Oryctolagus cuniculus: one gene and its partners. The main gene of each other region encodes a partner of the protein of the gene in region 6 in a complex. Links are inferred from orthologs where the notes say so. Each region holds a gene or a part of one and is shown on either strand. Other genes may lie near its edges. The genes, in order: TGFBR2, NRROS, ITGB6, TGFBR1, ITGAV, TGFB1 and ITGB8.

Region 1 (3,500 bases), on a different chromosome or scaffold from region 6:
GGAAAGACCGGGGAGGGAATGGCCCTGGCTGCAAACAGAAACATTTTCGCTCTAGAACCAAGGGTCCTTGTTTACAAAATGTGACAAACAACCTTCCGACGGATACTGATGAGCCCTCCTTGGGTGCTGCCTACTCCCCTGCTTGCTGGAACTTAGAGTAAATACCAGGGTCATCCACTTTATTGGTTTTCTTTATAAACAGAACCTTCTCCGGTCCCGGAACACACAGGGACCCACCCCGAGATTTAAGTCCCATCTCCCAGAATTCTCTCCCACCTAAGGGGCTGGTGAGCATGCTGTGTTACTGTATAACATAGGACAGGGTATGTATGTGACGTCAGTCACTGCTTAGACACTGCACCAGCCGCTGCCCCTCCATTTATTTCCAACCACTTTGGCTGCAGCAGCAGCTGTGCTGGGTGCTCCTCTAGCGTCCCCTTGACCTAGCCAGGAACACCAGATCCCGCCCCAGCAGTCACGCCTTACCTGGTGGTTAAGCCAGAAGCTGGGGATTTCTGGTCGACCTCGATCTCGCAGCACATTGTCTTTCATGCTCTCCACACAGGGGTGCTCCCGCACCTTGGAACCAAACGGAGGCTCGTAATCTTTGACCTCTGTGAAGACAGCAAACACAGGGCCACTGAGAACAGGACATGCAGCTGCAGGAGACACGTGTGTGGGGAAAGGTGACAAGGCAGCATGTGCACCCCAGGACAGAGCAAGGACCGTCCTGAAGGGTGTGCGCTTTTGCCTTCTTGTGCACGAGCATCTAGTCCATACAACTCTTGGGTAAGAGTTGGTTTTTCACTTCCTCAATGGCCCCAATGGCCAGGGCCGGGCCAGGCTGAAGCCAGGAACCAGGAGCTTTTTTGGGACTTCCATGTGGGTGCAGAGGCCCAAAGACCCAGGCCATCTTCTGCTGCTTTCCCAGGTGCATTAGCAGGGAGCTCGATTGGAAGTGGAGCAGCTGGGACTCTAACTAGCACCACCATGGGATGCTGGCACTGCAGATGGCAGCTTAACCTGCTGTGCCACAGTGCTAGCCCTGGAGAGTGGAATTTCGATCTGCGTAACACTTCTGTGTCACCTTCATCCCCACCCCCTTCCATCCCCATCTTCAGCCGAACTATAAATTCCCAAGGCCCAAGGCAGTGGCTGAGGTTTGTGTCTTTCAGTTCCTTGCTCAGTGCCCAGACTGTGCCTTATACGTAGTGGGCATTCCATAGACAGGAGTTGGTTGCAATCCAAGCAAAAGTAGAAAACTGGGAATGCGAGCTGGCTCCCAGTCCGGGTTTACTCTGACCTACTTCCCAGGTATAAAATGCATGATGTGACCCTGCGTGACCCTCCTGTCAACCCCCCAACCCCAGATTTATCTTGTAATCCAATTTAATCCAATAATGCGATAGTGGTATGCCTTGAGGAATGTGTGCTATAATACACTAGGATAGAAGAGGGTTTACATGTGATATAAATGGTCCCTTAGACAGAGCACCAGCCAAGAGCACCAGGCCCCAGCTGCTGCGGGCATTGGGTCAAAAGGACACACACCTTCACCTTTCCTGGGGGGACTGCCCTTGGCTGATGGGAACTGCCTGTCCTAGAGATTCCTGGCCGTGTCGGCCTTATCCCAGGAGCAGCCAATAACAGACAAATCCTCTTGGTGGAGCGATTCTGGTGCAATTCCTGGCCAGCGCTGCCCGTGAGACCAGGCCGAGGGGAGACCTCTCCCAAAACTCGAGTCCGCTGACCTTCCTCCCTGCCCTCTCCTGCGAGTTCTTCCTCAATGAATCATTGCACCAAGATCACTGTGCCAGGTTCCAAGACAGCTGCCAAGAAGGTGCCTTCTCCTTCTTCCCAGGTCCACCCACTCTGGTCACAAAGCCACAGGAGGAAGTCCTTTCTTGAGACGCTGCAAGTCTTAAGCTGGACAAGCACCCAGGGATGGCACCCAGCATCAGAGTGCAGGTGGAGTCCCAGCTGCTCTGCCTGCAATGCCACTCCCTGCTAACGCACCTGGGAAAGCAGCAAAGGTGGTCCAAGTCCTGGGGCCCCAGCCACCCATGGGGAAGACCCAGATGGAGTTCCTGGCTCCTGGCTTGAGCCTGGCCCGGTCCTGGTTGTTGTGACCATTTGGGGATTGAACCAGAGGATGCACGATCTTTCTCCCTCTCTGTAACTCTTTCAAATAAATAAAGAGATCTTAAAGAAGAGAGGGGGAGGATATGACCAATGGCAAGGAAAGACAATACCAAGATCAGAGTCAACCCCACAATGAATCTCACATAGGACACACAACTCAAATTGTACCTAGGGGCCAGTTTCCCTCATTTCAAGTCCTAATCTTCAACTTGACATAAGCCCAGCACTTATTTTAATTTTGTAAGTTCTCCATGAACCATAGCAAGTTTCCATGGAGCATGGGAGAGGACAGCCCAGGGTATACTGTTGTTGAAAGACAAAGCAGTGACTGCTCCGGTGAGAGAAAAGACAAACTCAGGGATCTTTTTCCAGAGCAAAGAGATTGGTAGCCGGGCCACTTCCTACTTTCATAAAATCCTGGGAAGTTGTGAGATTCCCCTACCGTCCCCAGGGGTCCCAGGGCTGCCTCCCATCTTTGACTTGCGGGAGTTTCCACAGGGAAGAGAGGTCAAGGACAGTGGGAAGGGCACACCAGGGAGACCAATGGATCTCCCTCCTCCTTCCAAATGTCAGACAGACAAGTCTGGAGGCAGCAGCGTCGGAGCCCAGCGGGCAGGCGCCACCCCGGCAGGGAGGCTGTCTTTCAGACCAGGCGTGGGGTGGGGTTGGGAAGTGTGTGCAGGTTTTAAGCTGACCTCTCTTCAACCCCTAGGGAATCTCTATTTATATAGCTTCCAAAGCAACTAAATACATGTTGACTTTTTATTTTTACCATGGATTTTTGCAATTTTTCTTTTTTGTCCTTCTCTTGAATTTTGCATAGCCTACACCCACCACTATTTTCTTTTTTCTCATGCCCCATAATGTGCAGCAAGAGCACCTAACGCCCACCTGTGTGTGTGCCTTTGCCGTTCGGTCAGCAGCTTTGCCACTGGGTTGTGGCTGTTGCACAGTGGTGCTTGTTTTTCCTTTTGTGACTATGTAGTCCAGGTCATTCTCAGGGCCCCATGAGGACCTGGACGATGACCACGACAGATGTTATGATGGAGGCCGTTCCCTCTGACGGCCTTGGTTCTTCTACATATTTGCTTTGCAGCAACAGAAGGGCATGGCCCAGGGTTCAAGGTGGAGGCCTGAACCCTGACAGAGGAGGTTAGAGGACAGGAAGCCTCCCAGCCTGATGGGTACCCAGGGTCCTTCTGAGGGGAGAACTCATGTACTGGAACTGAAGAGTCTCGGGTCGGGAGCAGTGCTGGGGACAATCAGTGAGGCGCTGGCCAAGGCTTTTGCTACTCTGGCTTCCTCCCAGGGCTCCAGGCAGCTAGCGGCTGAAGAAGGCTCAGTCCACTTTGGCAAAA
Region 2 (3,985 bases), on a different chromosome or scaffold from region 6:
AGCCCGTGTCTCAGCTGCCTGGTCCTCTCTCAGACCTCCCAGCGCCCCCACCATGACCCAGCCACCATGCAGGTAACCCTGACCCAGCAGGGGTCCCCTGCTGACCGCCAGTGCCTGTGCCATGCTGCATTTGACATTACAAACGAACGGCGCCCCTGAGTGTCTCAAGGTCGTCTCTGGGGTTGAGATAAAACGAGGGCCTCCTACTGTGCCACAAGGCCTACAGGAGCTCCCTTTAGCTATCTGTGTGTCTGTGTGTGTGTGTGTGTGTGTGTGTGTCTGTCTGTCTGTCTGTCTGCCTCTTGAGTAAACAATTTTTTTTAAATCATCACCTTAACTAACTGAGTGCCTCACAAATTGAGTACACACATTTATTCAAGGATGAAATTGAGAACAATGGTTTGGGGAAGAAAATGAATATAAAAAATGATACCAATGGGGCCAGTGCTGTGGCATAGCAGGTAAAGCTGCCGCCTGCAGTGCCAGCATGCCATATGGGTGCTGGTTCGAGTCCCAGCTGCTCTACTTCCGATCCAGCTCTCCAGTCTGGCCTGAGAAAGCAGTGGAAGATGGCCCAAGTCCTTGGGCCCCTGCACCTGTGGGAGACCCAGAGGAAGCTCTGGCTTCCGGCTTTGGATCAGTGCAACTCAGGCCATTGCAGCCATCTAGGGAGTGAACCAGCAGATGGAAGACCTCTCTCTCTCTCTCTCTGCCTCTGACTCTCTGTAACTCTGCCTTTCAAATAAATAAATAAATCTTTTATATAAAAAAAAGATACCAAAAGTAAAAGCCAAAACCAAAGAGACTGTAACCAGTTGTCAGTGATGCGCACTGAGCACCAGTGAGCAGGCACCTGTAAGCGTCTCACCCACAAGCTCAGCCTGAGCAGGCTGGGAAGCTGAGCCTCCCTAACTCAACGGACCCGAGTATTGGGTGAGGCACGTGGAGCTGCCCGTGCAAGAGGGTCGCCTCTGCTTTGTGATGCAGGTGCCCACTGCAGCCAGCGTGCAGGGCACCGCCAGTACGAGCACTGTTCTTTGCAGAGTCAGGACCAGAGACAGCCCAGCGCACTGCTAACCCATACGCCAGAAGCCAGACACGGCCAGCCTGCTCTCTGTTTAGGAAGCTCCTGCACTTGGATGACAGGCTTCGGGAGGCTCGGGCTCAAGTGCACAGGGGTCTTCACCAAGTTCCCAGGAGGGGACCCATTTGATGAAAGCACTTTTCTTGGCAAAGCTGTGTTTTTGTTTATTTGAAAGCCATAAAGAAACAGAGAGGGAGATCATCCATATGCCGGTTCATTCCCCAAATGCCTGCAACAGGTGGAGCTGGGTCCTCCAGTCAGGAGCCTGAAACCCCACCTGGGTCTGCCACGGCCAAGTATTCGAGCCAGCACCTGCTCCTCCCAGGACACACATTAACAGGAAGCTGGGATCGGAAAGAACTGAACCCAGGTCCTCTGAGGTAGGATATGGGCGTCCTGAGAGGCAGCCTCACCTCGGTGCCAAACACTTGAGCCTGGAGTTTTGGGTTTAACTTACAGACGGGAGTTGGGATTTTTTTTCCTGGGCCCACAATCCTGGAGTCCCAGGAGCTCAGGGTTTCATGTACGGATCTGTGGGCTGTGTGAGGAAGATAAGCACGCCTCAGAACCACAACGCCAAGGAAACCACCAGCATCCCTGGCCACAGGGGTGCGTCTCAGCCTCAGCAGGGAAGGAAGGAGGAGCACAGGGAATCGGGGAGGGTCAGCTGCGCACACTCTACTGCACAGTCCTCCTGCGTCCCACCCCCACCACAGGTGCCTTCCTCCCTCGCTGTGTCCTAGGCCCCATTCCTGCCACCAGCCTCAGCCTCCTGCAGGGCCAGCCACCATCAGCCAGGCACGTGTCCACCTCCTCTGGGGGCAAAGTGGAGCTGCCAGCCCCCTCCGAGGCAGCAGAGGGCAGCAGGAGCCACGTCTGTGCATCCTTACATCTCCTGGGTCCATGGGGGATGTATGTCGCCCCTACACAACCCAGCCTGCACCCAGAGGCCAGGAGGGCCACAGAAGAGCACTGGACAAGGAGTCGGAAGGGCTGAGTTCTAGTCCCCCTTTGACACTTACTAGCTGGGGTCCCAAGGAACAGAGCCTGCTGAATCCCAGCACGCCCCCCCCCCCCCCACACAAATGCTCTGTGGGGGAGGGGTTCTGCCAACAGTCACAGCGGCATCCCCAGGGCCTGGCACGTGGAGGATATTGGTGGGTAAGGGTGGTGTCAGGAGGGTCTCATCTGTGAACTGGTGACCCTCCATACAGGTGCGGGGTAGGGCTAGGAAGGGAGAGCCAAGCCGTCGCTTGTTCCCACTTTGCAGATGAGAAAACTGAGGTTCAGAAACGTTTTCTGACCTGCTCACCTTCTCCCCCCCCCCCCCCCAGACCACGAATCAAAGTCACGACTGATGCTGAGGCCCCGACTGTTGCCACTGCACCACCCCACCTTTCTAGCCCTAAGCGCTCCTACAGGGAGTTGTTCCCACCCAAGCCAGCGGGGCCAAGCTGGGACAGAGCGAGCCGCAACTTCCCGCTTGGCTCCGTGCTGTCGGCCAGGGCGCCAACCTCCCACTGCCCAGCCTCCCGGCGCGCCCACCTCCCGGAGGCCCCCGCGCGGGAAATACTCACGGCTCCCGCAGGCCCAGGCGGCTCCGCGGGGCGCATCCTCTCCAGGGGCTCCCGCCTCCTCGAGAGCAGCCAAACGCGGGGCTGGGTTGCCTCCTCTCTGGGGCATCGGATTATTTTAGCACTTGCGGAAGGAACGGACGGAAACTGAAGTCACATGGAGCTCGAGCTGCAGCTCAACGACTCAGCAGCGCTCAGCGTCCCCAGGAGGGAACTGCCCCCTGCGGCGTGGGGGCTGGGACTCGCCCTTGCAGCACCTGCCCAGCCCGCCAAGGAGCCCCCAGCAGACTAAGCGGGCTCCCCGAGGGTTCTTGTCTTGGTTGTTCTTAGGGGATGCCCCTGGGGGCCCTTGCCTTCTAGGGCTGTCTGCCTGGAAATGCATTTCCCAAATTATGTCCAAAGAGCGTGTTGAGGCAGATTTGGGAAGTGGGCAGCTCAGGGATCTTCCAGTTATAGAAGGGGAGAGTCCTTCCCCTTCAGCCCAGTCTTTTTTTTTTTTTTTTTTTTTTTTTAAGATTTATTTTATTTATTTGAAAGAGTTACAAAGAAAGGTAGAGACAGAGAAAGAGAGGTCCTCCATCCACTGGTTCACTCCCCAGACGGCCGCGACAGCCAGAGCTGTGCCGATCTGAAGCCAGGAGCCAGGAGCTTCTTTCAAGTCTCCCACGTGGGTGCAGGGGACCAAGGACTTGGGCCATCTTGCTCTGCTTTCCCAGGCCACAGCAGAGAGCTGGATCGGAAGAGGAGCAGCCAGGACTCGATCCGGCGCCCATGTGGGATACCAGCGCTTCAGGCAAGGGTGTTAACCCACGGAGCCACAGCCCCGGCCCCTCAGCCCAGTCTTTAATAATGGTCTCCTTTTATGGGCCCAGTGCCAAGCTATGAAAAAAAAGGAAAAGAAAAATGAATGAAAGAAAGGAAGGGGAGTTGCGTTGTTCTGGGCGTTGGAGAGTGCCCCGAGCTTCCTGATCATCGGCTGCATGAATGGGTGGGCTTTTAAAACATTTTTATTTGTACTGTTTATCTTTTTAGAGAGAGAGCGCGCACACTCCCATCCACTGGTTCACTCTCCAATTATCTTCTATGGCCAAAACGGTGCCGGCAGAAGCTGGGAGCTGACACAATCCATGCCTTCTGGCGTGGATCCAGTTGCTTGAACCAACACCTACTACCTCCCAGGGTGCACGTTAGCAGGAAGCTGGAATCAGGAACCAGAATTGGGTGTGGAACCCAAGTACTCTAACATGGGGTGGGAGCGAGAGTGGGAGGGGGAAAGGGTGACTTCCAGGCTAAATGCCCACTCTGTTCTGTTTTGTTTTTTTCTTTT
Region 3 (3,500 bases), on a different chromosome or scaffold from region 6:
GGTGGGAAGAGAACTGATATGGGTTTGGAAATACACTCCATAAATCAGCAAGTAAACCTCTGAGTGAGAGGGAAGAGGAGTGGTCTCAAGTGGGCCAGATCCTAAATGTTTCAGTCAGTAAGGGAGGAAAAGGCAGATTTTGCTCAGAAGAGCCTACACTTTCGCACAGCCACAGCGGTAGTGAGGAAGTGAAATGGCATCAACTGGCGCTCAGAAGGCGTGCAGTTCTTTGACGCTTCGTTCTCTCATGTCTTTCTTTTCTGAAAATTAGACTCTTTTCTATATTCTTGATGCTGGCTTGAAAACACGACCCGCTGAGTTTTTCTATAAAGATAATGGCTTTCTGGTTTTGAAGATCTGTTTGCTTTCGGACTGAAAAACAGAGATACTACAGCTTAGATTTGGCAGTTATTATTGCCATTGTAGCACAAATTTCTATCATTTAAAAGTATATTGGGGCCTGTGCTGTGGCCTAGCGGGCACAGCCGCCACCTGCAGTGCTGGCATCCCATATAGGCACCAGTTTGAGTCTTGGCTGCTCCCCTTCTGATCCAGCTCTCTGCTATGGCCTGGGAAAGCAGTAGAGGATGGCCCAAGTCCTTGGGCCCCTGCAACCATGTGGGAAACCAGGAAGAAGCTCCTGGCTCTTGGCTTCGGATTGGTGCAGCTCCGGCCATTGCGGCCATATGGGGAGAGGACCAGCAGATAGAAGACCTCTCTCTCTCTCTCTCTCTTTCTCTTTCTCTCTCTGCCTCTGCCTCTCTGTAATTCTGCCTTTCAAATAAATAAATTTTAAAAAGTATATTCACATACACATAATAATTGCCTGAAAGGTTATACTTAAATATATATTTCTACATACCAGAATGATTATACATCATGTTATATGTAATATGAGAGTGCCTCAGAAAGTTAATGGAAAATGTGTATTATGAAAAAACTAAAAATTTGTTGCCCCTTAAATTCTTTTAATTTAGCATTTCTATGAACTTTTTGAGCTTTGCTTGTGTATTCTTAAACTACAGTGACTTTACCTGTACAGAGACTATTAAAACATAAATATTCCTATTTTTAAGTTTTTCAAATTTCTCCAGAAATTCCAGGTAGCTTTTCATTTCATGCTTTCCATTGGCTGCTTTCCACTTGTCCTCACCCATCTTTCTTACACCCCTAGCCTGGTGTCTGTCACTTGGCAGGTGCTTAGTAAATATCTCTGCAGTGAATGAAGGCCTTCAAAGTCCACTGCGTAATTCTGTGCTCCTTGACCTTGGCAGCATTACCTGTTTAGTGATCTAGCTTTTTATTTTTCCAAAGTAATAGGCATTTAAGAATTGGGGCATTCAGCGGCTTGATCCAGAGAGGTCTAGAAGGTAATGGAGTTAAGATTACAGGCATTTCTTCAAGGTTTGGGGGGATGGCTAGGGAGAAGACACTGCCATCTTTTACTTACTTTTAGGGAAATTATAATAGAAATATAAATTCAGTTGATTGAGATTTTACCCCAGGTAAATGTTAGAGTTAGGAAAACAACAACAACAAAGCAAGATTCAGTAACCTCAGCCTAAACATGAAGTCACTCAATTGATAAACAAATGTTTCCTGAGCACCTGCTATGCCCAGGAAACTGCAGACAGAGCGAAGGACGCCAAGCCCCTGCCTGATATAGAGTGAGACGTGGTATAGCCTACCTCCACAGAGCAGTCCTTTGTGTCTCACGCAGGAGAAATTGTCACACTGACAGAACGGCCCGTAAATGTTTCCATAGGGAGACAAGTGGCAGACGCACTGCCCGCAGTAGCAGTCACCCCTGCCGCTGCACGAGGGCTGCCCGGGGGCCTCTCTGCAGGAGTCCGTGCTCAGCATGTCCTCGCCACACTCGCAGCGAGGACCCATGTGGCCTGGGTGGCAGGCACACACTCCACACTGGAAGGAGCCGTTGCCATCGTGGCATTTGGAGCTGTTTACTTCCACTTCTTGCTGACAGTCACAGCTGCACTGGGGACTGATGAGGATTTCCAGGGTGTCTCCCAGGCCCACGGGCTTTATGACAATGTGCTGGCTTCTCTTCTCGCAGTTGGCTACGCTCACGGTCACGTTGAAGGAAGCCTGTGAGAGAACATAGGAACGATCTGCTTCCTCCAGCCACCAGCAGACAAGAGGTGAAACCAGGCTGCAAGCTTTGCATCCATCAGCTTTGTAAAAGAGATGCTCCTTAGATCTTTTAAAGCCTTGAAAGAATACAAAGCTTCAGTGAGCTCTGCCAAGTTCTCACCCCCTGGCCTATTTATTTCAGGTCTTTGGGCTCTCTACTTACTGTGTCTCCGACCTTCATGTGCGAGCATTTCTTTTGGTGTGGGAAGAGGGTGCTGTTACAGATGGCTGTGAATGACAAGTTGAGTCCTTCCGTGTCTCCTAATACTTCCAGTTCCACTTCTGACCGAAGTTCCTTTAGTTAAGGCACAGAGAGTTAGATGAAGTCACAACCATAACATACAGCCAGAAGAAGGAACTGTGAATCATCTTCATTAAACTAAAAATGAATAAAATTAAATAGGGTCTGAAATAAATTCATCATGTCATTACTCAAGCAAGAAAGTGAGCAATCAATATATTTCATATTTTATCAAATCGAAGATGCCATCAATTATAAGATTTGCTATTATTTTATGACAATTAAATTATGACAGATACCTGGAGACAGTTCTGCACAATATATGAAATATACCCATCAGTCTAAAACAATTTAGCTTTGAAAATTATTTTATCCATTTTGAGGGATTTGGCAAATTCTCCTCCCCTGAGTTGCACGGCTTGGCATATAAAAGGCAGTTTTTTTTTTTTTTTTTTTTTTGCTTATATCTCAGTGATAAATAAAACATCTTACTTTACTTGTAAGTATTACCATTTCTTGGGTCCCATAACACAGCTGGCTGTTGCTTTGGAAGGACTGCAGAATGGCAGTAATTCCTTCAACAGTGAATATCTCCTCACTGGTATCAAATTAACACCCTGCTGCTCTGTGTCGGGACATTTCTGCATACATCACTTTTCATTTGAATATAGAATTGTGGCAGACACTTTTTGAATCCATTAAACTTAACACGTGTTCAACAAATGGAAGTGACGACAATCACATTGTCAAAGAAAGCTCCATCATGCCTGCCACCTGGCAGACGGTGCTTGTGAGGCACTGCTAACTCCAAGCTGGATCCTAGTTCTACAGATGTCGAAATGTGGGTGGAAGCTGTTGGAATGTATTTAGTACCTTTTGTTCATTTAGTTTAGAGTCAGTTCTGGGGAAATAATAAGACCGGATTTCTTCCCTCAGGAAAAAAAAAAAAAAAAAAGCTGATCATCTTACTTTTTACTCTCCTTTGTTCACTTACAAAATAAAAGTATATTTTAGGGGGACACAACCAAATTAATATAAAAAATAAGTTAGAATAATATTAAGTTATATTTCAATTCATTCAAAAAGTTTTGAAAATGCTGTTGGCATG
Region 4 (3,500 bases), on a different chromosome or scaffold from region 6:
CGGAGCCGGCACTGTGGTACAGTGGGTAAAGCCGCTGCCTGCATGCCTGCATCCCATATGGGTGCCGGTGCAAGTCCTGGCTGCTCCATTTCTGATCCAGCTCTCTGCTATGGCCTGGGAAAGCTGTACAAGACGGCCTAAGTCCTTGGGCCCCTGCACCCACATGGTAGACCCAGAAGAAGCTCCTGGCTTCAGATCTGTGCAGCTCTGGCCATTGTGGCCAGTTGAACAGTGAACTAGCAGATGGAAGACCGACCTCTCTCTCTCTCTGCCTCTCCTTCTCTCTCTGTATTAACTCTTTCAAATAAATAAATAAATCTTTAAAAAACAAAATAAACAAAAATAAAGCCTGTGCATGCAGCGGGTGCTCAGGCTGCAAACGTCCTATTCCCTGTCCAGCACTTACCACATCACTCTGGGCTTGTCTGGCTGAAGGGAAACAGTGACTGACAAGGCCGATGCCTAAGCTCACTGGGCGGACCTAAACAACCTTGGACTCACTAATGGCCACTGCAAGTGCTCCAGGGCCCTTTCAGTGTGTTGTGGAAAGCAAATTGCTTCATTTTTATCTACTGCATAAAGTGCTATGAAAAGGAAAGAAAAAAGAGAATTCTTGTCCATTTTCCTTAAGAAAAAGTAGCTAATTTTCACTTTGCAACTAAGCAAATGCAGTTCAGAAATTTGCCTAGTATCAAAAAGAAATACTCACTTCACAGCTCTGCCATCTGTTTGGAATATTTGGCCTTAACTTCTGTTCACAAACAACTTTTCTCATTTCTTCAACTGATGGATCAGAAGGTACAAGATCATAATAAGGCAGCTGGTAATCCTCATGAATTCCTAGATTGGTTAAAAAAAATACAAACTATTTTGAAAAATTTATTCAGCTAATGCCAAACCATTAAAAGGATCACCCAAAGGGCCTATTACAGTGCCCAGGACTCACAGCTTTCTCTGCTCCACATCTGCATCAACAAGCTCCGCCCCTGCCCGTCTGTTCTGGGCTCACATCATGAAACTCAACACTGCCATGAGATCAGCACGGGCTTTTTTCAATGATGGTTAACTATGAGCTGTGATAACCAGATTGCCATTTTCGCCTAGAAGGCTACTGTGCAGCAAATGAGATTTTCTATTCTAGCCTCTCATTCAGTACACATGTGTGCTCAGCTGAGGATGTGAATCCTACAGAGTGCCAGTCCCTTTGTCGGCATGCAACTGTCAACTACAAGTCCTATTTGCCACTATACAGAGCCTCTGTCCCTCGCTGCCTCAAAAACCTGAGTCTATAGCTCTCGATCAATCCTGGGCTCCAAGTCTAACAGACTGCTTCTCGGTAAATACTACAAAGTGCTCAATCTGAAACGAAACTTAAAAGTCAGAACAAATGTACTGAAAGTCACGGGATGGAATGATGATGTCACTGTTTTCTGTATATGTAGTCTACAGCTATCAAGTTGGAGAAAATAACCACAATCTCAAGGGAAAAAAATGTATCATCCAGGTACATGTTAAAATAACTTCCTAGCCAGCCTCTCAACCAGCGGTCTGTGACACATAAGTCTATCCCAGTGTAACAAGGAATCGGCTTCTGATGCTTGCCAAGATTCAAATGGAAACAGGAAAAGAATTCACTAAAATAAAGCTGTACAATCTGTATGTCATGTCATTCCCCCTTTGTTTTCTCTGGCACTCTCAGTGATCACCTGTTTCAGACTGTAGACACATTATATATAATTCAATAGGAAAGAATGTAATTCTTCAACAAGTTCTGCTCATGACAAACTGCTGGGAAAGAAGAGAGCAATTTACCACCAATGGAACATCGTCGAGCAATTTCCCAGAATACTAAGCCCATTGCATAGATGTCAGCACGTTTGAAGGATTCAAAATGCTTCATATTTATGGAATCATCTAGAACTTCAGGAGCCATGTACCTAAAAAAGAAGTCAATGTTTTATTTTACTGAATGGCGGCCACATTATTTTTAACTGTTCCATAAACTTTATTTCTCCACACAGAACATACATAGGCATATACAGAGTATTACATAGTTGAGAGATTAGACTAAAAAAATTCAATACACAAACTGATGTGTAAATTGATGATGCCAATTAAATCCCATGAAATGCTGAAACAGCAGTTTCACACTGTCTGCCCATCTAACAACTACAGAGCAGGTGTGTAGCACAGCAGGTAAGCTGCCACTTGGATACCTGTACCCACATCAGAGTGCCTGGGACTGAATCCCCACCTCTGTTTCCAATCCAACCAGTTTCCTGCTAATGTATCTGGGAGGCAGATGATAATATAAGTACTTGGGGAGGCCAGCTCTGTGGCTCAGTGGGTAAAGCCACTGCCTGCAGTGCCGGCATCCCATATGGGCGCTGATTTGAGTCCTGGCTGCTCCACTTCTGATCTAACTCTCTGCTATGGCCTGGGAAAGCAGTGGAAGATGGCCCAAGTCCTTATGTCTTTGCACCTGCATGAGAGACCCGGAAGAAGTGCCTGGCTTCTAAATGGCCTAGCTCCGGCCACTGTGGCCATATGGGGAGTAAACCAGCAGATGGAAGACCTCTCTCTCTGTCTCTGCCTCTGCCTCTCTGTGACTCTGACTTTCAAATAAATAAATAAATCTTTTTTTAAAAAAATACAAATATTTGGGCTTCTGCCACTGAAATGGAGACTCAGATAAATTTCCTGGCTCTTGGCTTCTGCCTAGCTCAGCCCTGGCTGCTGTAGCCATTTGAGGAATGAACCAGTGGATGGAAAATCTTTCTCTTTCAGTCACTTTTTTTTTTTCCTCAAAGTATTTATTTATTTGAGAGGTAGAGCCACAGACAGTGAGAGAAAGAGACAGAGAGAAAGGTATTCCTTCTGTTGGTTCACTCCCCAAATGGCCGCAACGGTCAGAGCTGCGCCAATTTGGAGCCAGGAGCCAGGAGCTTCTTCCTGGTCTCCCATGTGGGTGCAGGGGCCTAAGGACTTGGGCCATCTTCTACTGCTTTCCCAGGCCATAGCAGAGAGCTGGATTGGAAGAGGAGCAGCCGGGACTAGAACCAGTGCCCATATGGGAAGTTGGTGCCACAGGTAGAGGCACCAACTGTGCCAGGGAGCCAGCCCCAGTCACTCTTCTAAATAATAATCTTTTTTTTTTTTTAAGATTTTAAACCAACTTTTTAAAGATTTTAACCTACTGTGCCACAGCACCAGCCCCAATCCCTCTTCTAAATAATAATTGTTTTTAAGATTTATTTATTTGAAAGTTAGAGTTACAGAGAGTGAGAGGAGAGGGAGAGACAGAGAGAAAGGTCTTCCTTCTGTTGGTTCACTCCTCAAAAGGCCGCAACAGCTGGAGCTACGCCAATCTGAAGCCAGGAGCCAGGAGCTTCTTCCCAGTCTCCCATGTGGGTATAGGGGCCCAAGGACTTGGGCTATCTTCTACTGCTTTCCCAGGCCATAGCAGAAAGCTGGATTGGAAGAGGAATAGCCGGGACTAG
Region 5 (3,500 bases), on a different chromosome or scaffold from region 6:
GAGCCTCGATCCATGAAGAGAGGTGCTCCAATAAACACGTCTGCATAACTGAGAGACAGAACTCCTCACCAAAGCAAGATCAAATTCCATCTGTTATTAATACACATTTTCTTTCTTATTAAAACTCAGTTTCCCCTTTTCCACATCTCTCACAGGTACATGGAAGCACAAAACGATGACCATAGTAGCCATTTCAAATTCAAAGCTTCTTTTAACTCTTTTAAGAAATTATGAAACCATAAAATTTTCATGCTATAAAAACTATTAAAAAAATATGACCAACAGAGGTTTTCCATGTTTGTGTCAGGTTGCTTCAAATTGCTTCCTTAAATAGATTAGCAGAAAGGGAACAGAGAAACAAAAGCAAAACTGCTTAGTTTTAGTAAATAATTCACAAACATGAGAGCAAAACTGTTTCTGGAAAAATTTTTTAAAACTTACTCATCTCCATTAATGTCAGTGGCAGCTACAGAAAATCCAAAATATGCAGCCATCTGGATAACAAGATGAAAATGAAATGTTTATATTTCATCCAAATACTTTAGGCAATTAACAATTACAATATATCTAGCAAATAGAAATGGTTATTTTTTTCTATATACAGTGCTTCAATTTAAAAGTCTTCTCTTTTGTTTATTCTAGCAACACCACAACAATCAGGTAATGAGGCTTGCTAATTTGCAAGTAAAATACATTCTAGGTATAACATTTCAATGTTTAAATTCCATTTACTTGTATTCCAAGTATAATCAACTCTCCTTCCTATGCCTAACAATCGCTCCCTTTCTCCCCATTCCCTGACAAAAGGCACACACAGGCATACTAACAGAAAGACACAGTCACAAACATTTTAATTGGACCCAAGAAGTTATAAGTGGATGCCTATTCAGAAAGGACAATAGTTAATAATTATTGATAACAGAAAATAACTGGCTCTCCCTTTGTGAAACAACTATTCTTTAGAAGTTATTGTTTGGAAAGACACAAACAGGAGTTCATTCTTGTCTCACATCTCAATCAATTATTTGCCAGATGGCTTTGTTTCTTAATTACACACACACTACAAATATGTTTGGATTTATTATGAAGTTATTATGCACAGGGAGAAGAAATTTCCTCTCCTCCACCACAGGAGACCACTGGCTACCACAGACAGCTGGGGGCAGGAGTGGGGGTGGGAATGGGAGAAAAGGAAGTTCTAAAGAGAGCCCAACAGGCAAAACAAAGCTAGAAGAGATGACAGACTAAAGATAAACTAAGGTGAGTCAACAAATGAGTGAATGAGTCAGCAAAGCAAAGAAGGAAAGTTACGGATGCTTCTTTTTTTTTTTTTAAGCTTTAATTCAATGAATGCAAATTTCATAGGTACAACTTTAGGAATAGGGATGCTTCTGAATCTTGATTAGTTGAATATATATTCAGAGGGGATGATAAGGGAGATTCCTACCTTATCTATTTTGGCTTGATACAGTGTAGTTGAGAAAACAAAACACACATTCGCTATTCAATGATAAGATCAGAATTTGTGTACTGAAGTGTACTATGTTTGGGGTACCATGTTGATGTGCTGACTACAATATGCCAAAATAATATTCTTGAACCTTATTCTGTCAGAGTGTTTGTCCTGAAAGGGTAAAGAAAGTATGGCATTTACTGAGAACAACTTCTGTCCTGAGCACCATGATGGATCCTCACGGCTACCCCATGAGAACGTTAGCAGCATCCCTATGTTTACCAATGAGGAATCAGAATCATAGTGGCAAACACTTTGTCCAAAGCAATAATAAACAGCACAGAGCCCAGGTCTGTCCTCATCTAAGCCTTGCACTTCCCCAACGATAGCTGAAGATGAAAATAAGGAAACTTCAAAGAGTTTATGAAAAACAATGAGTTAAAAAGTAAGTTCATTTTGGTTCAAAACATAATGGGAACCCATGCACAGCTTTTTCACAATAGGTGTTTTTCAGCAATGTTTTGGAAACAGCTCACAAAGCAAGCATCACCGCCCACTTGCAACAGGATCCAGACACAACCATGGACACTGGATAGAAATGAAACAGCACAAAAGGATAACCATGCCTCCAGCAATCCCAATTGCCTGTGGATTATGCATTACTTCATGTGGAGCAACAATCCTGAAGCTGGTCCCCATACTATGGATCCTCTCAAAGCCCAACAATCTCTACTGACAAGAAATGGGCTTGAATACCAAATCTGCAAACCGTGAGGTATTTTTCCTACACTGACTGTTTAATTTTCCTTTGTGATTATCATTATTTAATTCTCTGAGACATGCAAGGAGTCTTCAAAAAGCTATGGAAAAATATGTATTGTGATAAAACTATGCATGCATTTCTAAATTATTTTGTACCAAAATAAATTTATCCTTTAATTTCAGTTTTCCACAAACTTTTTGAAGTACTCTTATACATTACAGATTAAAAAATACCTGTGTTGAACATGATATATAGTACTTAAAAGTACTACTCTTTAACTCTAAAATGTCTTACTTCACATAATACCAGCAAAGTTTATTTATAATATATATGCAAGTACTTTAAAAACTGTGAAAAATGAAATTAAAGGATAACATGCATTGTTCCATGAACTTTTTGAAGACCCTCCTATACATAATACACACATATGATACAATGGTTATTTTCCAAATCCTCCATCTTGTTGCAAATGACAGGGTTTCGTTGTTTTTGACTGCTGTATAGTATTCTATAGAGCACATGTCCCATAATTTCTTTATCCAGTCTACGTTGATGGGCATTTGGGTTGGTTCCAGGTCTTAGCTATTGCGAATTGAGCTGCAATAAACATTTATGTGCAGACAGCTTGTTTGTTTGCCAATTTCGTTTCCTTTGGGTAAATTCCAAGGAGTGGGATGGCTGGGTTGTATGGTAGGGTTATCTTCAGGTTTCTGAGGAATCTCCAGACTGACTTCCATAGTGGCTTAACCAATTTGCATTCCCACCAACAGTGGGTTAGTGTCCCTTTTTCCCCACATCCTCGCCAGCATCTATTGTTGGTAGATTTCTGAATGTGAGCCATTCTAACCAGGGTGAGGTGAAACCTCATTGTGGTTTTGATTTGCATTTCCCTGATTGCTAGTGATCTTGAACATTTTTTCATGTGTCTGTTGGCCATTTGGATTTCCTCTTTTGAAAAATGTCTACTGAGGTCCTTGGCCCATCTCTTAAGTGGGTTGTTTGTTTTGATGTTGTGGAATTTCTTGATCTCTTTGTAGATTCTGGTTATCAACCCTTTATCAGTTGCATAGTTTGCAAATATATTTTCCCATTCTGTCGGTTGTCTCTTCACTTTCCTGACTGTTTCTTTTGCAGTTCAGAAACTTCTCAATTTGATGCAATCCCAAATGTTAATTTTGGCTTTGACTGCCTGTGCTTCTGGGGTGTTTTCCAAGAAGTCATTGCCGGTACCTATATCTTACAAGGTTTTTCCAATGCTCTCTAATAATTTGATGGTGTCAGGTC
Region 6 (4,140 bases):
ACACAGGAATAGGAGGGCCACGATGGACACACCCGCGGAGACACGCGAGTTTAGGGAAGAGGACGTGGCCTCCTCAGGAGAAACTCAGTGAACTAATTCACACCGCGGGCGAAGGAGAAAGCGGAAGCGAGGCCAGATGGACCAGTGGGTGGGGAAGGGGCGCCTTTGGACTACAGCTGCACATCAGGCGCGGGCGCGAGCCAGGGACCCCCAAGCCCACCGCACAGGACATAAAGTGAAACCTGGGGATTCACCCCAAGTCCCCAGGCCACGAGGCAGCCTGGGTCCCCGCGTGGGCGCCGACGGGGCGGGCCCACAGGCACCCCTCCCACAGCTGGGGGGAGAGGGGCGGGACGCGCCGCTGCCGCGAGGGCGGAGACAGACCTGCCTCGTCTCGCCCCAGGCTCCGCGCGCGATCCCCGCCCCCGGGCCACGGGAAGGAAAGGGAAGGGAGGAGGGGTGGCGGCCGGACGCTGGGGTTTCCCCAGCCTCCCCGGAGGAACTGCAACTCCGGGGTCCGCAGTGCCGGCCTTCAGCCCTGCGGGGTCCTCCTTCCTCTTCGGGAAAAGCGAGCTCCTCCCCGCCGCGCGTGGCACCCATGTGGGGCAGCCTCACCCCCACCTGCTCACTTTTTTCACCTGGGCCTCGCACGGGCGCCCCCGCCCAGACCTCCCCCCAACCGCTCCACTCCTCGTCCGGCCCCTCCCATCCCACAGCGAGCGGGTTTCGCGGCTCAGCGCCCAGAGCACCGCCACCTCCCCTCTGCCCCATCCCAACACACCTTTCCCACGCCCCTCCCCTCTCCGGAAGCCCCTTCCCCGACTCAGGAGTCCTGGTTCCTGGGATTCCCTGCTCTGTGCCTTCACTCCGGCTGCAAGCACGCGCGACCCTCTGCACGCACCCTGGGCACGCGCTCCGGGTCTCCGCTCCTCTCCCGTCAGCCTCCTCCTCCCACCGCCGGCCTCGCGTCCCATGCCCGCACCCGTCACGCAGACCACCGCCTCTTTGCCACGACCCCTGCAGTCCTGCGTGTCCTGTGCGCCCTGGAAGCAGGTCCACGCTCCTGGCACTTTGCTGCTGTTCGCTTTTGCTCCTTCCGTCTTTCTGTTTCGTGACCCCCAATTCTGCCCAGCTTTCTCATTGGCTCCCTTACCCACAAACTAGGGGCTCAGCCTCTACCCACAGAGCACCCCTCTCTGCAGCTCCCACCCCGCGACCCCCGCATTCCACGGGCCCTGCGGAGGGAACGGCTTCTACCCCATTGCCTGTGTCCCCCGGGACCTCCCTCGCCCCCGCGGGTCCCGTGCACTTGGCGCACTGTTCCAGGACCAGTCCCTGAGGGTCGGGGAGCTCAGCGCCCTCGTCTTTAGGACACGCCCTCCCCCACGTTCCCTGTGCACCCAGGGGTCCCCTTCCTCCCGCTGTGTCCTCCGCGGGTAATTTCCTCCCTGACCCCTGCGCTCCGGCGCCCCCTGGGGGCCCCCTCCCGGGTCCCCGTCCCTCGGAGCTCACTGTTGTTGCTGTCCACCATTAGCACGCGGGTGACCTCCTTGGCGTAGTAGTCGGCCTCGGGCTCCGGCTCCGGCTCGGCGCTCTCCCCGGCCACCCGGTCGCGGGTGCTGTTGTACAGGGCGAGCACGGCCTCGGGAAGCGGACCGGGCGGCACCTCCCCCTGGCTCGGGGGACTGGCGAGCCGCAGTTTGGACAGGATCTGGCCGCGGATGGCCTCGATGCGCTTCCGCTTCACCAGCTCCATGTCGATGGTCTTGCAGGTGGACAGTCCCGCGGCCGGCCGGCCGGGCGTCAACACTAGGAGCCACAGCAGCGGCAGCAGCAGCAGCGGCAGAAGCAGCCGTAGCCCGGAGGGCGGCATGGGGGAGGCGGCGCACCCCGGCACTGCCGAGAGCGCGAACAGGGCTGGGGTGGGATGGGGAGGCCCCGCCCCTGAAGGGGCTGAGGGTCTCCCGGGGTAAGGGAGGAGGGTCTCAGGGAAAAGTTGAGGCCCTCAGGAAGACAGAAGCAGGGGTGGAGGGGAGGCTGTGGCCAGGGTGTCTCGGTATCCCACGAAAGAAACGGAGACAGGCGAGTTCTACTACCAGAAGGTGGGTGGTCTTGAGTAGGGGAGCTGGAGCAGGGCTGAGACCCGTCCCCAGAGGAGGGAAGGTCCTAGGATGCTCGGGGTTCAGGAGACGGGCAGAAGGTGAGCCTGAGGCTGGGGCAAAGCCTTCGCGGGAGAAAGGGTCCGAGGCTCGGAGGGCTGGTCCGGAACGGGGGTCGCTGTGTAGGAGGCAGCGAGGGAGCAAGCGTCCGAGGCGGTGAGGAAAGGGGCGGCCTGGGGTCCCCAAGTCCTGCCTCCCCCTGGGCCAGCGCCGCGCCAAGCGGTCCCCGAGCCTCCGGCTCCCAGCCGCAGCGGAAAAGTCTCAAAACTTTTTTCCTCTTCTCCCAACCAGCTCGTCCCTCCTCCCGCTCCTCCTCCCCCTCCTCCCCGCAGTGGCGGCGGCGGCGGCGGCGGCGGCGGCGGCGGCGGCGGCGGGGGCGGCTCTTCTCAGACTGTGGCCTCGGGCTGCTCCTCGGCGGCTCCTTCCTCCGCTCAGCTGCGCTCGGGGCCCAGGCTCTGCCCGCGGGCAGCTCCGAGCCGGGGGGGTGCCCCGGAGGGGGCGTCCCCCCTGCCCCCGGTCGGGGGCCTCGCTGTCTGGCGGATCCGCGGCGGGAGGAGGGAGGGGGACGGACCGGGGCGCGAAGGGCGGCGTCGGCGGGGACCGGCCAGGGCGGCGGGGGGTTTTGAAGCCGCCCCGGCCCCACCCAGGAAGCGCGTGGGGCGGGGGAAGCCTCCAGGGGGCAGGGCGGGCGAGCGGACGGGCGGGCCACCGTCCTGATCTCGAGTGGGCGGGCTCCGAGGGGGGTCCCTTCTGCCCTGGGGGGGCGGGCACCCGGCTCCGCCCCGCGAACGGGAAAGGGGTGCTGCCTCCTGGCGGCTGAGTGCTACCAAAGCGGTGCCTGAGATGCACCATCACAGTGGGGCCATGCGCGGTGAGAGACCTGGCAGGGAGGGGACACTGGGAGGGGGGGACTAGGGCGAGGGGTGTCTCAGAACTGGAAGGGTGAGGGGCTAGGGCACAGGATGGGGGCCCGAGGAAAGAGGGCAGCAGGTGAGGGGGGCACAAGAAGGGGGTCACGAAGGCACTGGTACCTATAAGTTGCACCCACCTTTATTGAACCCTGCCCGGGTGCTAAGTAGCCCCTTCTCACCCAACCCCCGGGTGCTGGCATCCTTCCTGCCCCATTTTACAGAGACAGAAACTGGGCAGCAAGGGGCAGTTACAGGCCTGGAGGTCCTGGCAAGGACCGAAGTCGTCCCATGCCTTGGCTGCAGACAAGTCTCTGGGGCCCCCGATGCTGACCTCCGCGCCATCCTGACCCTCGCTGGCCGCGCAGGGGTGTGGATGCCGGTGACAGCTCGGGCAGAGCCTCAGCACTCAACACCGTAGCGGTCGAAGTGGCGCAGCAGCAGGCCAAGCTCCAGGTGCACAGTGCCACCCGCGGCTGTGTGCAGGCGGTAGCGGTCAGCCCCGCTGTAGATGGTGTCCCCGTGCAGCAGCTGCGGCCCACCGCCCACAAAGACCCGCGCCAGCTGCTCCCGCCAGCTGCCCAGGGGCCGCCACGTGGGGCACTGCAGCTGGTGGGTCCCGGGGCTGCTGGGCACATGGCAAAAGCCATAGCCTTCAAGCTGGCAGCGGCCAAAGCCATCCTGGGACCACACCTGGAGATGGAGCCGGGGCCAACCTGGAGGAAAGGAGGAGGGGAAAGGAAGGTGCGTTGGGCCCAGACTCCTGCTTCTAGATCGCCCCTCCCGGACACCCACTGGAGACCGTAGGCCAGACACTTTGCTCCCTGGGGTTCTGCCTCAGCCCCCTCTCTGAACCCCATCTCTGATCCATGTCCATGCAGCAGTTAAAGGGGTCTTTCTACATCTCTTACTTCTCTGCTCAAAACCCTTCCACTGTTCCGGGGTGCCCACGGTATAAAGTCCAACCTCCTCAACGTTCCAGATCCGACACGGGCTGGCTTCCCTCTGTGTGGCTGCCTCCTACGTGCCCCGTGGAGGGGCAGCCCACTGCTCCTCCAGTTCTAGGTGAGCAC
Region 7 (3,500 bases), on a different chromosome or scaffold from region 6:
TTGCTTGAGGCAAACTTTCTAAATGGCTTGCAGAATTTACCTTAATGACTACACAAATGAAAGGGTTGAACAATCCATCCAGTTTACCAGGTGAAGAAGAAATCAAAACACTAGGTCTGCAAACAATGAAGCTATTCCGGTTTGGACAACAGTTTACAGTGTTTCTCATTAACATTCAGCCTTTAAAACCAGTATTCTAATAAAGTGACATTGTATTATTAGTTCTGTATGCAGTAGTAACTTAGCACTTATTCAGTCCAGTCATTTGTGACATATAAACTTATCCTGCAGGGGAGAAAAACAAACTACAAAGAGAAAGAGGAGAGAGTGTTAGAATTTGCAACCATCTTGAAAAAAAGAAAAGATCAACACACATGCATTAAACTATACAGTTTCAGAAGCAATATCCCTTAATATTAAGCTTTCATATGTTCACCTCTTGAATAAATGAGACACTAACCATTTATTCATCTAGTTGTTCTTGTCTACTCATTGCCAACAGTTGAAGTGTTGGGCAAAATTGGCCTAAAACATCCGGTGTAACTACCAGATGATATTTTTCGTCTGCATGGTCAATGCAGGGATCACTGTACCCTTGTGGTGGCACAATGCAACTCTCTCACAGCGTTGTCTCTCTCTCTCTGGGAAGCATAGGAATGGAAGGTACCTGTAAAGTGTAATCAGTGCTCTTCAGATGATCTACATTCTAGGTTGATCTAAATAAGTTATATATTACAGTAAAGTGCTACAATGACACTAGTCTCAAACAGTAGTAAGACATTTTTCTCTGAAAAATTCAGCAGCTATGTGAGTCACATGACGATGAGGATGCTTGGCAGTCTTCACTCGAATCCATCCAGCAACTGGCACAATCTGGAACAATCTGTCTCCTCCTGTGACTTTTAGAACTATCCTTTTTTAGGAGCAGTTATTGAAAAATCAGTTTCCCACAAAGTATTTTTTTAAATCTTTTTTTCTTAGAAGTTGCACCTGAAAGTTTCATGAGCATTTAATTTACTGATATCCAATTTTATCTCTTCAGGTTTCTCACGTCGGTAGGTCACTGCTCTTGTGCAAACACTCTGCAGAATCAGCTTATCCTTGACGGAGAAGAAATATTGTTGTTAGTTAAGGGCCTAAATAATGTAGCTAGACAATAATTACTGGCAGCATTTTTTTTTTAATTCACTGACCTTTTTTGAGGCTGACACTCTGTAATCTGAGGAGGACTTGATTTTACTGCTATTCCATTGTAGTATCACTTGTCTAATGATCAGGATTTTAAGCAACCCAATCAAGAACGTGACTATGAATATGATGAAAAAAATCCTCAAGTAGCTTGGGCTAGAGAAACACTCTGTAATAAAGTAAACAAATAAATGGATTAAAAATCAGTATGAGGAGATCAGAGGATGGTACCAAGCAACTTATGCTGAGAGCTCAATGAATAGGACCAGAGATATTTGCAAACCTATATTTTTAAAATAGGGGATTCACATGACATGATTGCTGGCTCAAAAAAGTATTCTCTCTAATTTTATTGCATATTTCTTATAAAAATATTTTCAATAGATAGCCTCCCTTAGGGGAATATCCATGCTAATGGGAGCCTCCCTTAGGGGAATATCCATGCTAATGGGATTCAATAACATTTTTTTTTGCAGCTTGATGCTTTAATTGTATTAACTGGAATGTGTCCAAATCCCTTAACCAAACATAATTTTATCCATGACAGAGAAAAGGACACTTTTTGTAGTGTTTACTGTTGATCACTAAGTGGAAAATAGGATTTTAAACAATTATCTAACAGCTCTGGGCATGAGCATATGTTTCCCTTATTATTTTGTTGCACACCAGTAATGGAAAATTAAGTAAACATCTACAGAATCTAAAATCGGTACTAGATGAACAAATATTTCCTCTGAAGTTGCAGTGTAGGTTTTCATTATTATTACACATGGCTTCTCCAGGAAATGGGAGTGTCCAGTTTGGGACACACTCAAATCTCTTCCTCAATTTTATTAATTTCTTTTTTTACTCGTCTGTTAGCTAAATCTACTCCATTTTCTACTAAAATTTCCACCCTATTTTTTTTCAAGGACAGATAATTTCCAGTTGGAGGGGAAAAAAGCAGCAGTGTGAAGAGCACGCTAGATCTCTGCTTCAGCACCAGGCCTTTGGCACAGCGTCCTTGGAAAGCGGACAGGCTTGGTTGCTGCCAGTGGTATTACTCTAATCGGAGGGGAACATGGTTGCACAATAGACAAGTATTCCAGGGAACTCAACAGCTGTCCCAGATTCAGAAAGTGACTTCCTGGCTAAAGAGGCATTTGTGCCTCTGCCCATTCTCCAGGCATGGGGAGGAGCCCTTGAACGTGAAGGGTCTCCAGGGAGGCGACTGGCCAAGGCCTGGGGTAGCACATCCCCAGTTTATAGGTGATCTGAGTTAGAACTCCCAGGGACCAGCACGTGGGGCTCTTGGATCCACCAAGAGCTCGGTGATGAGAGGCAAGGGGTGCTCTCTCCAGCTGGGAAGGCAGAGGAGCCTTCCTTCTGGTCGGCAATCAGTTAACTTGAAAGAATGGACAAAGGCAGAGGCCCCAGGGCTCCTACTGGAACGGAAACCCTAAATACCAGAGCACGTCTCCAGCCATGTCGGGGTGGACTCCAAGGCGCTCTCAAAATGGTGCCCTGGAGTCTTCCGCAGTGACTTGCGGGGTCACGACGCGCAGGATGCATTTTGTCATTTGCCTTGGCTGATTCCAGACCAGTCACCCAGCCAAGCAGATGCTCAGAGGGGGCACGTGGCTGGATTCCCCTCTCTGGCCTCCTGCCCGGTAGGAGCTTAGCCAGAGAGACCGAAAGAACACTCTTTAAGTGTGATTGAGCGGACGGATCTCAGAGGTGCCTAACAGAAGCCTTTTCCCCACTCCTTGCACAAGAGTTGTGACGAGGAGGGGATCTCCCTCGCAGCTGACACATTTTAGGGACGTTTCTAACAGGGTAGGGTAGAAGACATTTTCAGGGTGCAAATCCGCTACCTTTTCAACCGTTGCTAGGGGTGGTCAAACATTTTCCTCTGACCCATGCTTTTCTTAGTTTTGGTCAGGCCGGGGCTTTTCCTAAGAAGTTTTAGGCAATTTTTTTTATGGTAACAACAGCTAAATCAGGAGTGTTTACTGAACATTATAAATGACATGTTGATAGCGAGGGCCCTTTTATTAGAAAAGGCACTTGGCTTTCTGGAGTGATTGCTGTAGCCCCAGCTGGCAGCACATGGGTTCTGTTCAGAGCCAAATCCATTACGGGCTAAGACCAGTGTGGTTGCAAAGCAAAAGGGAGAGAAAGCTCTAGTGAAAGTTTGCTTCTGTGTTCCATCTCTGCAAGAGCTGCACTTTTTCTTACTGGCATGGTGGTGCTGGTGGTGGGGGCAGCCCTGAAATAGTAGATGCAATCGGAATGTTTCCAGTGAGGACACGATTTCAAGGTTTATTCTAATT

Evidence for each region.
Region 1: the proteins of TGFB1 (region 6) and TGFBR2 are in contact, whole or in part, in a cryo-EM structure (PDB 9FKP), measured with the Homo sapiens proteins. The link is inferred for Oryctolagus cuniculus from reciprocal best matches to the Homo sapiens genes TGFB1 and TGFBR2. Residues at the interface, in NP_000651.3 of Homo sapiens: Arg303, Lys309, Trp310, His312, Tyr368, Tyr369, Val370, Gly371, Arg372, Lys373; in NP_003233.4 of Homo sapiens: Phe47, Leu50, Phe53, Asp55, Ser72, Ile73, Thr74, Ser75, Ile76, Cys77, Glu78, Val100, Asp141, Glu142.
Region 2: the proteins of TGFB1 (region 6) and NRROS are in contact, whole or in part, in a cryo-EM structure (PDB 7Y1R), measured with the Homo sapiens proteins. The link is inferred for Oryctolagus cuniculus from reciprocal best matches to the Homo sapiens genes TGFB1 and NRROS. Residues at the interface, in NP_000651.3 of Homo sapiens: Leu30, Ser31, Thr32, Cys33, Thr35; in NP_940967.1 of Homo sapiens: Phe194, Glu195, Ile196, Glu197, Gly198, Gly199, Phe201, Leu210, Leu212, Pro218, Cys219, Ile220, Val221, Asp222, Phe223, Gly224, Leu225.
Region 3: the proteins of TGFB1 (region 6) and ITGB6 are in contact, whole or in part, in a crystal structure (PDB 5FFO), measured with the Homo sapiens proteins. The link is inferred for Oryctolagus cuniculus from reciprocal best matches to the Homo sapiens genes TGFB1 and ITGB6. Residues at the interface, in NP_000651.3 of Homo sapiens: Pro70, Gly71, Pro72, Glu75, Leu158, Asn237, Gly245, Asp246, Leu247, Thr249, Ile250, His251, Met253, Asn254; in NP_000879.2 of Homo sapiens: Ser142, Ala143, Ser144, Asp146, Asp147, Pro196, Cys197, Ser199, Ile200, Pro201, Tyr202, Lys228, Lys231, Ile232, Ser233, Ala234, Asn235, Ile236, Asp237, Thr238, Glu240.
Region 4: the proteins of TGFB1 (region 6) and TGFBR1 are in contact, whole or in part, in a crystal structure (PDB 3KFD), measured with the Homo sapiens proteins. The link is inferred for Oryctolagus cuniculus from reciprocal best matches to the Homo sapiens genes TGFB1 and TGFBR1. Residues at the interface, in NP_000651.3 of Homo sapiens: Ala279, Leu280, Asp281, Asn283, Tyr284, Tyr328, Ile329, Trp330, Gln335, Lys338; in NP_004603.1 of Homo sapiens: His39, Leu40, Thr42, Lys43, Phe55, Asn68, Met70, Ile78, Phe84, Val85.
Region 5: the proteins of TGFB1 (region 6) and ITGAV are in contact, whole or in part, in a crystal structure (PDB 5FFO), measured with the Homo sapiens proteins. The link is inferred for Oryctolagus cuniculus from reciprocal best matches to the Homo sapiens genes TGFB1 and ITGAV. Residues at the interface, in NP_000651.3 of Homo sapiens: Gly242, Arg243, Arg244, Gly245; in NP_002201.2 of Homo sapiens: Asp178, Asp180, Phe207, Tyr208, Gln210, Ala245, Asp248.
Region 7: the proteins of TGFB1 (region 6) and ITGB8 are in contact, whole or in part, in a cryo-EM structure (PDB 7Y1T), measured with the Homo sapiens proteins. The link is inferred for Oryctolagus cuniculus from reciprocal best matches to the Homo sapiens genes TGFB1 and ITGB8. Residues at the interface, in NP_000651.3 of Homo sapiens: His117, Thr241, Arg243, Arg244, Gly245, Asp246, Leu247, Thr249, Ile250, His251, Gly252, Met253; in NP_002205.1 of Homo sapiens: Ser156, Ala157, Ser158, His160, Asn161, Asp213, Tyr214, Asn215, Leu216, Gly248, Asn249, Ile250, Asp251, Thr252, Glu254, Gln286.

Annotation. Positions count from the first base shown.
Region 1 is NC_091435.1:167,303,405-167,306,904, reverse strand, and holds part of TGFBR2 (TGF-beta receptor type-2), read right to left. Parts: intron 615-3,500; coding exon 487-614; intron 1-486. UniProt on the Homo sapiens protein: Transmembrane serine/threonine kinase forming with the TGF-beta type I serine/threonine kinase receptor, TGFBR1, the non-promiscuous receptor for the TGF-beta cytokines TGFB1, TGFB2 and TGFB3.
Region 2 is NC_091435.1:83,139,592-83,143,576, reverse strand, and holds the start of NRROS (transforming growth factor beta activator LRRC33), read right to left. Parts: upstream 2,801-3,985; 5' UTR 2,662-2,800; intron 1-2,661. UniProt on the Homo sapiens protein: Key regulator of transforming growth factor beta-1 (TGFB1) specifically required for microglia function in the nervous system.
Region 3 is NC_091434.1:81,824,706-81,828,205, reverse strand, and holds part of ITGB6 (integrin beta-6), read right to left. Parts: intron 2,447-3,500; coding exon 2,315-2,446; intron 2,107-2,314; coding exon 1,689-2,106; intron 1-1,688. UniProt on the Homo sapiens protein: Integrin alpha-V:beta-6 (ITGAV:ITGB6) is a receptor for fibronectin and cytotactin. It recognizes the sequence R-G-D in its ligands. Internalization of integrin alpha-V/beta-6 via clathrin-mediated endocytosis promotes carcinoma cell invasion.
Region 4 is NC_091432.1:202,804,750-202,808,249, reverse strand, and holds part of TGFBR1 (TGF-beta receptor type-1), read right to left. Parts: intron 1,938-3,500; coding exon 1,813-1,937; intron 841-1,812; coding exon 710-840; intron 1-709. UniProt on the Homo sapiens protein: Transmembrane serine/threonine kinase forming with the TGF-beta type II serine/threonine kinase receptor, TGFBR2, the non-promiscuous receptor for the TGF-beta cytokines TGFB1, TGFB2 and TGFB3.
Region 5 is NC_091434.1:53,699,071-53,702,570, forward strand, and holds part of ITGAV (integrin alpha-V), read right to left. Parts: intron 495-3,500; coding exon 442-494; intron 49-441; coding exon 1-48.
Region 6 is NC_091449.1:13,277,410-13,281,549, reverse strand, and holds the start of TGFB1 (transforming growth factor beta-1 proprotein), read right to left. Parts: upstream 2,801-4,140; 5' UTR 1,874-2,800; coding exon 1,513-1,873; intron 1-1,512. Other genes in the region: B9D2 (B9 domain-containing protein 2), read right to left, coding at 3,470-3,783. UniProt on the Homo sapiens protein: Transforming growth factor beta-1 proprotein: Precursor of the Latency-associated peptide (LAP) and Transforming growth factor beta-1 (TGF-beta-1) chains, which constitute the regulatory and active subunit of TGF-beta-1, respectively.
Region 7 is NC_091447.1:12,475,257-12,478,756, reverse strand, and holds part of ITGB8 (integrin beta-8), read right to left. Parts: intron 1,358-3,500; coding exon 1,194-1,357; intron 1,101-1,193; coding exon 978-1,100; 3' UTR 1-977. UniProt on the Homo sapiens protein: Integrin alpha-V:beta-8 (ITGAV:ITGB8) is a receptor for fibronectin. It recognizes the sequence R-G-D in its ligands.